Cricetulus griseus: one gene and its partners. The protein of the gene in region 2 binds, or shares a complex with, the protein of the main gene of each other region. Links are inferred from orthologs where the notes say so. Each region holds a gene or a part of one and is shown on either strand. Other genes may lie near its edges.

Evidence for each region. The genes of interacting proteins can lie anywhere in the genome.
Region 1: the proteins of Ube2e2 (region 2) and Rlim are in contact, whole or in part, in a crystal structure (PDB 6W9A), measured with the Homo sapiens proteins. The link is inferred for Cricetulus griseus from reciprocal best matches to the Homo sapiens genes UBE2E2 and RLIM. Residues at the interface, in NP_001357154.1 of Homo sapiens: Lys52, Thr55, Lys58, Arg59, Lys62, Pro112, Asp113, Pro115, Phe116, Ile142, Asn146, Trp147, Ser148, Pro149, Ala150, Leu151, Thr152; in NP_057204.2 of Homo sapiens: Ser571, Val572, Cys573, Ile574, Thr575, Cys596, Arg599, Trp600, Pro608, Ile609, Arg611.
Region 3: the proteins of Ube2e2 (region 2) and Det1 are in contact, whole or in part, in a cryo-EM structure (PDB 9BJZ), measured with the Homo sapiens proteins. The link is inferred for Cricetulus griseus from reciprocal best matches to the Homo sapiens genes UBE2E2 and DET1. Residues at the interface, in NP_001357154.1 of Homo sapiens: Ala77, Gly78, Pro79, Lys80, Gly81, Arg88, Ser89, Thr90, Gly101, Val103, Phe105, Phe123, Arg124, Thr125, Arg126, Ser134, Gln135, Gly136, Gln194, Trp195, Arg198, Tyr199, Ala200, Thr201; in NP_001137546.1 of Homo sapiens: Arg258, Phe259, Tyr261, Asp264, Thr267, Val268, Phe272, Glu274, Asp289, Pro290, Phe291, Ile292, His297, Arg298, Leu300, Val301, Trp304, Arg305, Phe319, Phe320, Gln321, Phe323, Asp324, Arg327.

The regions. Positions count from the first base shown.
Region 1 is NC_048604.1:66,585,804-66,590,881, reverse strand, and holds the start of Rlim (E3 ubiquitin-protein ligase RLIM), read right to left. Parts: upstream 3,216-5,078; 5' UTR 3,076-3,215; intron 1,219-3,075; 5' UTR 1,157-1,218; intron 1-1,156. UniProt on the Homo sapiens protein: E3 ubiquitin-protein ligase.
Region 2 is NW_023276807.1:175,703,883-175,708,196, forward strand, and holds part of Ube2e2 (ubiquitin-conjugating enzyme E2 E2), read right to left. Parts: intron 2,089-4,314; coding exon 1,941-2,088; intron 1-1,940.
Region 3 is NC_048596.1:118,770,527-118,775,538, reverse strand, and holds the start of Det1 (DET1 homolog), read right to left. Parts: upstream 3,216-5,012; 5' UTR 3,077-3,215; intron 782-3,076; 5' UTR 667-781; coding exon 653-666; intron 1-652. UniProt on the Homo sapiens protein: Component of the E3 ubiquitin ligase DCX DET1-COP1 complex, which is required for ubiquitination and subsequent degradation of target proteins. The complex is involved in JUN ubiquitination and degradation.

The DNA.
Region 1 (5,078 bases), on a different chromosome or scaffold from region 2:
CAAAGGAACAAGGTGCTATTCAGTGAGGTACTCTATTTCCCAGTCCTGTATGATTATGGGAAAAGTACACATGCCACAATTGTATAAATGTAAATGTTCTACTTGACTTGCTCCTACTGAAAACCTTACTACAATGTTTAACAACTGAAAGACAGCAGCCTAACATTTCTAAAGATTTTGGTGAGCTATTTCTTTAAAAGAGTCCTGCTTGTAATTTTTTTTCCTAGACAAGGTCTTACTATGTAAAACTGGCTGGCCTAGGAATTCACATGCTGATCTCAAATTGTGGTGATCCTCCTATGTCTGACCCCACCCTAAGTGCCAGAATTCCAGATGTGGGCCACCATGACAGACTTATTTTTAAAGTAAATTTATCAATTTACACCAAGAAGCAATAATAGTTGAAACAGAAACTATAAACAAACCACCCAAATAATGCAGTTACTGGATAACTCTCACCTCTGTTCCACTGAGGCAAACTAAGTCTGCTTCCTCTTTAAAATAGTTAACATTCCCATGAAGATCTTATTGTGAGGATTACAAAATAATACACACCAAACCCAGAGCCTAGCAATACTCTTCAAGAGAAGTTAATTATAAATGTAGCCTAGTTAACTGTCCAGCAGTTTGCTTTGGACACCCAAGTTTGCATCTGTTTTCTAGGAACACTTAAAATGTCCCACTTACTTTTAAGTGCCCTGGCTAGTGCAAGAAATTTATGTGGTCATCTTACAATGTTGATAATAATAACAGAATTAATCAGAGCAATACATACCAATATGGCTTCCTGAATCTTGAAGGGAGAAAAATAAAATGGCAGACAAAATAACTCACATTCTATTGAGATTTCATTTAGTTATTCACTGAATATTTAAAAGCAATTTCATATGCCCAGGTCATTCCAACAATATCTTAAAGCTTCCTAATTTTTTCTTTCAGTGCTATGGAAGTTTGGCTAATATTAGATTACTTTAAAAATAAAATTCACTGTTAAAGCATAGGTGACTTTCAGGTACCCTTTGCATTCACATTAAAAAAACACCTACCCTCATCACTAAAAAACCATTCAACCACAGGGACTGTAAAACACAACAACATATATTTGTAAATACATTCTACATACACACCATCAGGAGAAGAAACAAAAAATAATTACCTGTCTGTTATGACATAGTACTGAAATCCAATAAACTGGATTTTAGTTTTCTTCACTCTGTTCTAGGAGAAAAAGAATTAATTATTCTTCCTGTTATAAACCCCACATTTTCTTTGAAATAAAACAAATTCTTAAAAACACATATCATATGTATTTTGGTTACACGAATCATAACCCAAATTAATTCAATGTTAGAATTAGGATATTTTAGGAACCAAGAAGGCCAGAGGGAACCAGGAGTTAGATAAAATATTTCCTTTAAAAGCCAAGAGGCAATCTACCTTTTAATATTAACTTCTTTAAAACAGCCATTTCCTTATCAGACTAGTAATTATTTTCGGATTCAAGGATTTATTTGGTACATTAAACTAGCCTAAGGCAGAAACTAAAGTAATAGAAACCATAAGGACATCTTAGGCTAAAGAATGTTTGTGACCTTTCTCAGGAAAAACTGCCCTAAAATAGTTACTTTAAAGGGTGTTTGGGTTGGTCTTTCTAAATACTTAACCTGTATTTCAGAAACTGATTTGAGGAAAAGGCCGACCTGTAATGTGCCTGCTTCCTCTCCAGACTCTGATCTGACGGGAAGATGAGTAACTTTGTAATTATGAAGAATCAAAGAAATGATTAGCGCTACATTTGTTATTTTTTTCTGTCTTCAATCATCTAAACGCACTGTGGTTAATTAGGATTCAAGAAATGTAAGCAACTGATTTCTAGCCAAAAAAATCGTGGGGCCTGCCAGTGGTGCATGAGAATCTGATGTAAATCTTTTTGCCCCTGAGAAGAAAAAAAATGACCTTAATAACTAGTCTGCTAGGCCTCAGACTGCTAGAATAACCTGTGGAATAAGTATGGTGAAACTGTCCAGGGAAGAACGTGGCTGTCTCCACCATCTTGAAATTAATCAGCATAAGGGGAAAAGGGACTGAGTATTCAGGAAGCAGAAGCCCAACCGGTTAATACTAGTTACTAAGCTATGGCGTACGTGGCAGGTACCGCCCGCAGAAGCCGAGACCCTTAGGGGGTTTTTTGAGTGGGGGAGGGGTATGAATGTTGGCGGATCACACGGATATTAACTTGAAAATAATCTGGCTCAATTCCCACACTCACCCAGGGAAAACAACCCGCAACGTCTTTTCCCTCCGTTTTTTTTTTTTTTTTTTTTTTTTGGAAGAGGGGGGGAATCCTTCTAGTACTATCTAGCCAAGGATACACCGGGGCTAAAGGAGGCAGGAAGCAAACCACATTTGTCCCCTATCCTCAGGGGAAGACTGTCATCGTAGCCCCAGAGGGCAACTAATTGGCAATGCCCTCCAGAAGGGTTCAAAATGGGGCTTTGCGAATCCTGGGAAAATCTAAAGGCCCAAGAGTTCCCAACATCTGACTCAGAGCACCTCCACCTCCACCCCACTTCCCCAAACCCTAACCCCATCCGCAACGCGGGGCGACGAGGGGGAAACTCCCGAGTAAGGAGAACTGGAGAGATTCTGATGCCCAAGGCCCAAAGTCCACGATAACCTCCCCGATGTTCGGAGCTCGGGAGGGCAGGGCACCTCCAAGATGTTCAGAGCTCGGGAGGGGAGCTCGGGAGGGCCGGGCACCTCCAAGACGTTCGGAGGTCAGGATGGCCGGGCGCCTCTCCGACGTTGGTAGCTCGGGAGGGCCGGGCCGCGACTCCAGGGCCACGGAGAGGAAGTCCTACCCACCGCCTCCCCTCTTCGATGAGCCGGCCGCCACACACCACCCAGCTAAAATGGCAGCGGCGACTGCGCCATAGAAGCCCCAACAACCACGAACCCGGGTCGGGAGGCCGTGCTGGCTGTCTCGGCCGCGGCCAGCCACTCGGGCCATTTTGGAAGCCGCTGCCTTGCCCAGCCCGACATCCCATTCCTCAGGGTGCCCGTGCCGTCACTTACTCGGTGTCCCGGCCAAGAGCCGACCCGCTGGGCTCCGCCGCCTTCACCGGGGCTCTGCCACGCAGCCGCCGCTCTCCAGCCCGCCTCCGAACCCCTGGTAGAGACCCGTCTCTAACCCAGAGCTCGATCTGAGACGTAGCTCAAGCAGCCATTATCTTCCCCATTGTTACCTAGCAGTGACAGGAAACGACTGCCCACAACAGGAAGTGATGATGCCGCGTCCCCGCTTCACAGGCCCCAGTCCCAGACTGCTAGCCAGCCAATCCCAGTTGATTCCTCGAGAAGGCCTGCTGGGCAGAGGAGGGGACCGGTAGACTATCGCACGCGGCGGGAGGCGGGTAGGGAAAAAACTGCCGCTGTGACGCCCACCATGTGACAGGCCCCACCCTCCTTCGCCATTTTGAATTGTGGCGAGAAATTCGCGTTCTGAGAATTGTGGGAACCTTCGCATTCCCATTTTGAAAGCTGAAGGACGTCACAGTCGGGCCGCTCAAAGCCTTTTTCAGAGAAGTAGAATGTGTTATAAATGTCACTGGCATTGATCCACACAGTCCCAGACTAGTGTAGACCGCAGCCAACGTTTTATTCAACATGTATTTACCAAGTGCCAACTGTAGATCAAGCACAGCTGTAGATGTTGAGAAAGTTGAACCCAAAATAAAGTTGAAATAGTCTAAAAATAGAAATTCTCAGTTCCTACGGGATTTGGTAATCTAGAGTGAACAAAAATTTAAAATACATTATTTGTTCCTCAATGCTGCAATTTGAAGTGGGGGAGGGGTGCACTTTAGGGACAAAGTCAATTTGCAATGTTAAAAAGTGTTAAGGAAGGACTCCACGAGGCTCTAACTTGAGTACTTTAAAGGGGCGGAGTTTGCAAATGGATGGGAAAATCTGATAGGGGAATTCTAAACGATTGGTTAAGGAAGCCTTTCTTACCTGCTGATGACTAAGGGAAGGAATGAAAGGAATGCACCCTACAGCTCCCAGTTCCCATTCAACAGTTAAAGGGGAAAAGAACCTTAAACCTGTTTTAAGGATGTCTCCGTGCCACCATCCCCATTTTCCTGTCTTCTGCTAAACAGATAGCTTTTTATTCCTACCTCAGTTTCTTAAACTAGGCTGGAAGCCGGGTGGTGGTGGAGCACACCTTAATCCCAACACACAGGAGGCCCAGTCTGTAGGAGTTCAAGGCCACCCTGGTCTGCAGATCGAGTTCCAGGACAGCCAGTGCTACATAGAGAAACCCTGTCACAAACAAACAAAAACCCAAACAAACATAAATGAGGATGAAATATTTTTCTTTGATATTTTTGTATTAATCATCTAGGCTTCACCTCACCTACCAGAGAAACTTCTTGTGACCACCGTGTTTAACTTAACAATTTCTCCAATCCCTTATTTGCTTAATTGTCTATAAAGCATTTAACTAATAAACTATTTGTTAATCTCACCGTTTAAGAATACAATAAATCCCCAGAACTGGGAAGGCTAAGGCAGGAGGATTGCTGAGAATTGGAAGCCATCCTGGGTTACATAGTAAATTCCGGACCAGCCTGAGTTACAGTGAAAGATATTTTTTTTTAAATGGAGAGTCTCGATGAGACCCAGGCTGGCCTTGAATCTGCAATCAAGCTTCTACTTCCTAAGTACTGGTGTTTCAAACCTGCGCTAGTACTCCCTGCTCAATAATTCATGTAACTTTTAAAAGTAATGTGTGTCAAAAGCCACAATGAATCTGGGCATGGCAGTGTTTACAACACCTAAGAGAATAAAGCAGGATAGCAACAAATTCGAGGTCAGTCTGGGCTACATAGTGTGTTCCTGGCCAGCCTGGGCTAGAGTGAGACCCTGGTTTTTTGTTTGTTTGTTTGTTTGTTTGTTTTAAATGCTAGTCATAGTGGAGGTTTTTTCTTTTACTCTTTAAATTACCGTGTGTGTGTGTGTGTGTGTGTGTGTGTGTGTGTGTGTGTGTGTGTGTGTGAGAGAGAGAGAGAGAGAGA
Region 2 (4,314 bases):
TACCATGCTTCAGTGACATCTTTCTTTAAGAATCAGAGCCAGGATGATGGCTCACCCTTGTAAATCCCAGCACTTGGGAAGATGAGAAGGCTCAGGAGTTCAAGGTTACCTTTGGCTACATAGTGAGTTTAAAACTGGCCTGGGCTATAAAGATGCAATCTTAACCAAAATCAAACTGAACTCTACTGAAAGAACCCAGGAATGTCAACATTTGTACAGTGGAGTGTCACTCAGGTGGTCTTCTTAGACGCACCAGAATGTGATGATTAGCATATATCACAAACTGTTCTAGTCTCTTTTAAAATTATTTTTTATGTGTTTGGGTGTTTTTCTTGCTTGTACATCTGTGTGCTGTTTACATGCCAGGTGCCTGAGGAGGCCAGAAAGAGGTGTTGGATCCCCTGGAATAGGAGTTACAGATGGTTGTGAGCTGACGCTTGAGTGATGGGAACAAAACCAGGGTCCTTGGAAGAGCTGTCAGTGCTCTTAATCCCCTTTTTAGACTCCTATCACAAAAGTGGTTCATCTTCTAAGGACCACTATTATTTTCTGCCCTGATATTCCTACTGAATGCCAGTATTTAAAAAAATGCATTATTTCTTTAGTGGAGATGAGATGGGTCAGACAGGATCTCACCACGTAGCTCAGGCTGCCCTTGAACTCTCAGTCCTTCTGCTTCATCCTCCCAAGTGAGTGCTGCGGTTACAGAAGTACACCAGCAAACCTGGTGCAGGCCAGCATCCCTGGTTCAGAATATGAGCTTTTGTTTTGGTCAGGGGTGAGTTTTAGTTTTATAGACAATGTAAACTTTTGAGAGACACAGCAACACCAATCAAAGAAACAAGCAAACAAAACCCAACTGATTAACCAAAGTTCCAGCCTCTCTCCAACAGCACGACATATTGATAGCCATTTCTTTAGACAGAGGTGGATGAGTTCAGGGGACCTGTTCTGAAAGCAGGTGTTCACTGCTGATTTGTGGTAAAAGGCCAAAATCATCAAAACAAAAGTAACAACAAAGAAAGCCTCCTTGCAACATCACCTCTAAGTAAGGTCATACATGTGGCAGGCAGAAATGGGTGCAGCCAGGAGAGGATGGGCCTGCAGTGACAGTCAACTCTCATGGTGCCATCTGATCTGACTTTACTATCTACCTGGTGAGTGAACTAAAAACATTTCACAAGGGCCTTACCCAGGAGATGGGATTTCATGACAATTAATAAAACACTGAAAAATGCAAGTTTCATGGAGAGCATGAACAAAAACTACTCTAGGATTTCTGTATTTTCCAGAGTAAATCCATATATGAGCACAATTCATAGCTGGCTTGCCCTGTAGCTAAAGCAAAGTTGTCAAAGGCACATGATCACATGCAGAGGAAGAAACAAGAGTTGAGAACCTGAGTGCAAAGCTCAGCAGAGGGCCAAGACATGCCGATAGCCACCTTAGTTTCCTGGCAAGCCCTGCTTCCTGATTTAGATCCATTCAGTTTTTTTGCTAACAGCTTATCAGGGCGCACGGCTGCTACTGCACTGGAGGTCACATCTGTGTGGTGCTGCCTTGGCTGTTATGAGATTTTAATAGCCCACATTTCTCAAATTAACATGTCTACTAGGTATCTAATTAAAGATTAAGCTATTCAATTTGAATTTTTATTGTTATGTGGTAGGAGAATTTAATGCATTCTAAAATACACTTTTTCTCATTTAAAATGAGTTTTCATTAATTTTTATCATATTTTGTTTTAAATTTCTTTTGGTAAATAATAGGTTCAGAAAGAAGTGAATGGAAAGAACCAATCTAAAAAGAACACAGTTATAGAGCATGGAAAGTTAAAATCAATGATAATGAGCAGCTGGGGTAGGGAACACTAGCAGCATTAACAGGTTCAAAGGCAACCTTGTGCTTCTCAATCTGGTACCAGATCCAGGGCCACTCACCAGGGTTGCAGTCTGTAAGGAGTGAGCAGATGGACAGGAGGACTTTAGAGATGGTCAGGGCTGGACTCCAGTTGTCCTTGAGGATGTCCAGACAGATCACCCCTTGGCTGTTGATATTACAGTGGTAGATTCTCGTTCGGAAGGTGACCTGGGAGAAAATGCAAAGTTGCCATAAGAGGAAATGGCTGAGGTCCAGGCTGAAGTTTTTAATAGATATATGAAAATAATCAATAGATTAAAAATAAAGATAATTTGTGACAGAAAACAGAGCACTCAGTAGAATCTGCACACTGCTTCTGGTGTAGCTGAGGAGTTTAACTTGATGTAACCACAGGATGTTTATGAGCAGGAAATGGGCCCGACTTCTGAAATGTTTCAAAAACTTTTGGTGGATTCTAGTTGCTTTACTTTTTACATTTAGAAGATCCAAAAAAACCCCAAAAAAACAAAAAACAAACAAACAAACAACAACAACAACAAAACCCAGAACGCTTGGGAATAATACAATGAAGATAAGTGTTCTTTAATACAGTTTTAAAACACGAATGAGGGTATATAAACGTATCACATGCCTCTTTTATATAATTTCATGTTAAAACTGTATATGTTGGAAACAGATGCAGAGATGCACAACTGAGCACTGGGGATGAGCCACAATATAAGCAAAGAGATCAAGACCATAATGGGGAAACCCACAGAAACAGTTGACCTGAGCTAGTGTGAGCTCACTGACTCTGGACTGACAGCTGGGGAACCAGCATAAGACTGAACCAGGCCATCTGAATGTGGGTGTCAGTTGGGGGGCTTGGGGGACAATATGGGGCCTCTGGCAGTGGGACCAGGATTTATCCCTAGTGCATGAACTGTTTTTTTTTTTTTTTTTTTTTTTTTTTTTTTTTTTGAGCCCATTCCCTATAGAGGGTTATCTTGCTCAACCTAGATACAGGGGTGGGGAAGGTCTTGGTCCTGCTTCAACATGGTTTGAAGGACTTTGTTTACTCCTCATGGGAGGCCTTACACACTCTGAGGAGTAGATGGGGGTTAGGAAGAATGTGGGGAGGGTAGGAGGAGGGGAGGGAGGGGGAACTGGGATTGGTATGTAATATAAAAAAGATTGTTTAAAAGAACCTAAAAAACTGTATTTGTTATAATTTATTATTACTGTATTGTTATACTTCACAAAGTTATTCCTTATTAAATTTTATATTTGAATGTACTATTAATACAATCTTTTCCTATGATAGTAAGGTCACCATTATACTTGTCTTTAATTTGTAAAGTTATGACATAAAAATATTCTAGGGAAGAATGTGACTCTGGTTAAGATAACCTTTGTTCTTGCAGGGGCCTTGGGTTTGGTTCCCAGCACTGACTGGTATGGTGACATACAACTGCTAGCAATTCTGGTTCTAGGGGATTCAATGCTCTCTTTTGGTCTTTTGCACCAGGCACACATATGGTACACATATATGTATGTACATACAACACTTATACATATAAAGTAAAATAAAAACCTTATTTTACTAATAAGTAAATATTAGTAAATTTTTGACTAAGCAACAGTAAGATTTAAATGTTACTTATTATGACCACAAATTTCTAAAAGTTCTTAAATTTATAAATAAATCTTGGTGTTCTAAGGACCTGGTACCCTGAATTTACAATTGCTCAGAACCAGGAAAAAACACACATGACAGGGAGGCCTCTGTCATTCTGCCACTCAACCAGGCATCCATTCAGACATCAGGAGCACATGTAATTTGTAGGATGCCACATTCCAGGAGGGCAGAATCAAAGTGTCAGAGGCTGTTGAATACTATACCCCCATTCTCAGGCTGGATCAGAATCCAGCATCATGCCAGACTAGTCAATCTCTCTCCCCAACACGATCTCAAATGTCCAGAAACCTTGAAGAAAGAACCAGCCTTCTTCTAGGAGAATTCCTGGAGGCCACAACTAAAAACCCAAACCTACAGTCAGCATCAAGTAGGCAGTATGTGTGCTGAGGCAGGATTGGGGACGAGGAAAGGGCTGAAGGGTGACAGGCAGTCTTAATAAAATGAAAGCTTTAATTTTGATAACTTCAAGAAGGCAGATGAGCTCGTAGGCCTATATGTGGCCAGGAGTTTGAAAGCAGAGCCTATGCCTCAATCAGGACACTCAGTGGCTCATCTTTCAGGAAGAGGATGTCTTCAGGGAGAGAGCAAGGGAACTGACATTGAAAACCTGGGTTCTGGACTAGGGAGAAGCATGAATTCTCACCATGAACAGATTTATCACACACACACACACACACACACACACACACACACACACACACACACACACACTCATACACTCTTTGTGACTATTGGAGCAAGTCTATGCCAAGGGA
Region 3 (5,012 bases), on a different chromosome or scaffold from region 2:
GTCCCAATGGCATTTTTCACCCTAAAAATAATATGAAATCTCAAAGAATACCAAATAGCTACGATGATATGGAAAAAAAAAAAACAAAACCACAATTGGAGTGCTCATATTTCCTGATTTCAGAACCTATTACAAAGCAACAACAATAGCATAACCCTTGCATAACCAGGTCAATGGCAAAGAATGGAGTCTCAGAATAAACCATGATTAATCTTATCAACAGAACTGGATTAGAAACCTCTAGGTTCTCTGGGCGTTGGTGCCGCATGCCTTTATTCCCAGCACTCAGGAGGCAGAGGCAGGTGGATCTCTGTGCCTGGTCTCCAGAGCGAGTGCCAGGATAGGCTCCAAAGCTACACAGAGAAAAAAGAAAAAAAGAAAAAAAAAAGAGGAAAGAAAGAAACCTCTAGGTTCTTAACCTGTGGGCCACGACTCCTTTGGTAGCTGAACAATCCTTTCACGGGGGTTACATAAAATCATCAGAAGGCACAGACATTTTCATTATAATACATAACAGTAGCAAAATTATAGTTATGAAGTAGCAACAAAAATAATTTATGGTTGGGGGGTCACTATAACATGCAGAACTGTATTAAAGGGTTACAGCATTAGGGAGGTTGAGAACCGTGCTCCAGGAATCAGTGAAGCATACCTCTGGGTGTCCATAAGTCAGTTCCAGAGACCACTAGATTATGAGGGCTCTGATCTAATCAACGGATTGATATCTTGTGGATTCATAATGGCAGCATTACTGGGAGGTGATGATGGGTAGAAGGAAAGCCTGAGTGGAAGAAGCAGAGGAAACAGGATATGAACACTTGACTTTGGAGGCTAAATCTTGTTCTGACCCTTTCCTTACCCCCCTTTCTCTGCTTCCCGTTTGCCAGACCCTCCCTCAAAATGATGGACTGAGCCCTCTGTAACTAAGACACAGCAAAGCTCTCCTCCTTTAAGCTGATTTCCCAGATATGGAGCCAAACCCTAAGAAGCTCACACATGGGCAAACAGCATTTGGTATTCAGTAAGGCCAAGGCCACACAACAGGAAAGGGGAGTTTCTCCAGCGCACGGCTTCTGGACAAATGGATATCATAAGCAAAAAGAATCTTGGAAATAAAATTACACCCTTATCTTGCACCATTTACAAAACTTAACTCAAAATGAATTAACTAAGTGGAAGACCTATAGCTATAAAACTTTCAAGGGAAACCACAGGGAGAAACTCGATGAAAATGGATCTAATGACTTACGATGTGAAACCAAAAGCATGGGTAACACATCTAAAAGATGATTAAACATGAATACATAAAAACATTATACACTAAAAGTTACAACTAGAAAGTGGAAGGGGGCCAGGCTTGGTGGCGCACGCCTTCAATCCCAGCACTGGAAAGGCAGAAGCAGGTAGATCTCTGTGAGTTTGGGGCCAGCCTCATCTACAGATCAAGTTCAAGACAGCCAGAGTTACACAATGAAACCCTTTCTCAAAAAACAAACAACAACCACCACCACCCCAAAAAAGTGAAATGGCAACCTACAAAATGAACAGAAATATTTGCTGGTCAAATATCTAATAAAGAGTTAATACTCAGCCTATTTAAAAAAACTCCCAGAACCCAACAAATACTCACAAAACCCAATTATTTAAAAATAAATGAATAAATAAATACAGACAGATAAGATATACTTGAAAGACATTTCCCCAAAGGCATACAAATGGCCAACAAAGAAAGTACATCAATAATCATCAGAAAGGAATCAAAAGCTGGGGTGGAGGTGATTCTGGCAAAGGCTCTGCTAACAAGTAGCCCAGATCCTCGGCACCATAAAACAAAACAAACAAAAAGTTACAACATATAGTAAGGGTATTGTTTTGCAATCCTTTTGTTTCAAACTTATCCATGGATAAACTACTCCACAGGATAAGGATCTAAACCGCATGCTGAGCTAGACCTGAGGAGGTCAGACTCTAAACTACTATTCTGGTTGACTTAGGAAAGAACCTTTCCCTGGAACCCAACCACACTCATTCATTTACATATTGCCTATGGCCACTTTAGCCCTAGGAAAGAAGTGCTGAGTGTCTGTAACAGATCACAGACTGAAATATACTATCTGGCCTTTGTAGAAATTAAACTCTTCACCTTTGAGAACTACCTGGGGTATCAACTCCAACATCTTGTCTTTGAAGGCCTTTTTTCACTTCATGAGACCTGATATCCCAACACGGTAGCCACACCTCTCTTTCCCTGCAATTCTCTGTATTTTACTTATATGTATACTTATAGTGATCTCTCTGGGTCAGCTACACACCTCTTCTGTATGCCCACCCCAGTGCTTGACACCTACCAAGCTCCCTTCTTAAACACTGGGCTTACCTCAAGTCATATTCTTGACCAACGTGGGAAAACACAGAGGTACCTTCCTTTTCTCAAATGCATTCTCCCTGGTCCTTGCCTTAACTTTTCCTGTTGCAACCTTAGTGTCAACTTTTGGGAAGTCTTTTTTTTTCCCTACCATCCTCCCTAAATTAGGACTCATCTTTTTCTTGTTCTTTCTATAGTATTCAGTCACAACTTTTATTTGCATGTTCGATTGCATGATTGTGTTTAATGTTTAATTCTCCTCGCTGAACTATACTCTTTCTACTGGAAGTAACCAGGTCTACTTCAGTCACCACGGTATATTCTTTATCTAGCTCTAGGGCTAGCACATGGTAGACGCTTAGGTACGTTCTGAAACGAAAAGAAAGCCAGGCTAAATCGGGTCACTAAATGTGTGAAAGCAAATTGTTAGGGTTCTTTTTTTTTTTTTTTTTTTTTTTTTTTGGTTTTTTTCTTTTGTTTTTTTTCCTCGTTAGAGCAAGTGCAGATGTCTCCTCACTTGGCGACTGCTTCCAAAACAAGAAAAGGATGCCAAGAGGCAGACACACATGCCCAAGGGGCGCCCCCGGAAAGAAAAGCCCAGGGCGGAGCCTTCACGGGCAAAGCCTGGCGCCGGGGCTCCTGGGGCCCGGGTATCATGCGGAGAGGAGCCCGCCGCGGAGCTCCCACCGGCCGAAAAGGACAAGTCCTCACCTGTCGGGTCCTGGCTCATGGGGCCGGGGCAAGGGTCGCCCTAGCCTGCTCGGTGCACACCTCCCCCTGCCCCGCCCACGCCATGCCTCCGGACCCCGGCGTCGGCAGCCACAGACCCCTTGCTTCCGCCGGCTACCGGAAGTGCTGCGCAGCGAGAAGGGAAGTACGGAAGAGCGAGACGCCACCCAGCTGAGGAACGGCGCAGCGCACCCTGGCGTCGGGAGGAGGGATCGAAGGATCGAGGCTGGGTGAAAAGCCCGGAGCCTTCATAATAACGTGAATAGGAATTAAGTTTTCACCGACTTCTCCTGTAATGGTGGAAAATGTGATTATATATGCACCGTGTCATTCTCCGGGCCCGCTGCTATTGGTGGGCACAGAGCATACAATAAAATCTTCTGTACTAAATGAATCCCGTAACATTTTCTGGTCTTTCACTAACATAGAACTTTAATTTCTTACAAGCTATTTCTTCCCTATGAGCCTGTGGCTTCTCCTAGGCTGTCTAACCCTAAGTTGTCCCTCTTTTGGATCATTCAAGTCTTTACATATATGTCATCTTTACGTGTGTGTGGTGTGTGTGTGTGTGTGTGTGTGTGTGTGTGTGTGTGTGTGTGTGTGTGTGTTGTTTATTTTTGCAATGCTTTGGCAGGAAACCAAACACAAAATGTCATCTCTTAAGGCTCCCGTGTCACCAACATCACTATTTCTTCACTCTTGAGTCTAATATCTGTTTTTGTTGCTATGCATTTTGTTTCTCTGCCCTCTGGTAGAATATAAACTGGGGACAGGTTTTTTTGTCTTATTTTCTGTTCCAGGCCCACCTATAACAAGGTTTGCCATCTTACAGAGGCTCAATAAAGAGTCCAGCAGAGGGCCACGAGTGGTGGTCCATGCATATATCCCCAGTTCTTATGAGGCATAGGATATAGAACTGGAGGTCAGGTTGAACCTTGCTGTCCCCACCCCAATTCCCCCCCAAAAAGACTCTGCACACAACACCACGAGGAAAAGATATTGGTTGACTTTTATGAGGTGGGAAAAGGACAAGGGATTGAAGCTAAAGGAAGAAAGGTGACTTAGGGATATAGAGTAGCTGTGAAGAGAAAGATTTCTGGCCCAGTCCTAACATTTCCAAGTTGAGTGTTCTCAGGTGGTGGCTTCAGAGCCTCTACTGCCTTTTCTTGGAAATGATTATACCTGCCCCTTAAGGTTATCCAAAGTATTAAATATGCTATCTTCAAACACCTGAAGTCTTGATAAAACATTACTGAAGTTGTCTGGGCATATTCCTTCTCCATGATGAAACTAAGACCCAAAGAGAGGCATATATCACTTGCACAAGTTCACACAAGAATAAGTGTCAGTAGGGGTAGTGGCACAGATCTTATAGTCCTGGCACTTAGGAAGTGAAGGTAGGAGAGAATCAGGAGCTCAAGACCAGCCTTGGCTGTGAAGCAAGTTTGCCAGCCTTGGCTACATGACACTTTCTCCCAAAGCAAAGCTCAACAAACATGTGGCAGGGCTGTGATTAACACCCAAGACATACATCTCCTTCTTGACAAAGTTGCATCCTCCAGATCAAATTCTGACTCAGCCAAGTGGGTCCCTGTATGATTTCAAGACACATATCTGCTTCTCCAAGTCTGTTTTTCCATCTCTAATGTGCGTAATGTTCTGATTTGGTTATTGAGAGATCAGATAGAAGACTAAATTTAAACTAGCAACATGGAACCTGTTCAAGTCGACTGCTTCAATTCAGGACCTAGGAGTTTGGAAGTAGAAGTTCCTTAATGACAGCTGTTTTAGGATTGGAAAGCAAACTATCACTTCTCTATGGTTGTGGTGGGAATAGGGTGAGGTCAACCTTAAGAGGAACTACTCTTAACTCACATCATGTAAAAATAACTTTAAAAAAAAGCTGGGCGTTGGTGGT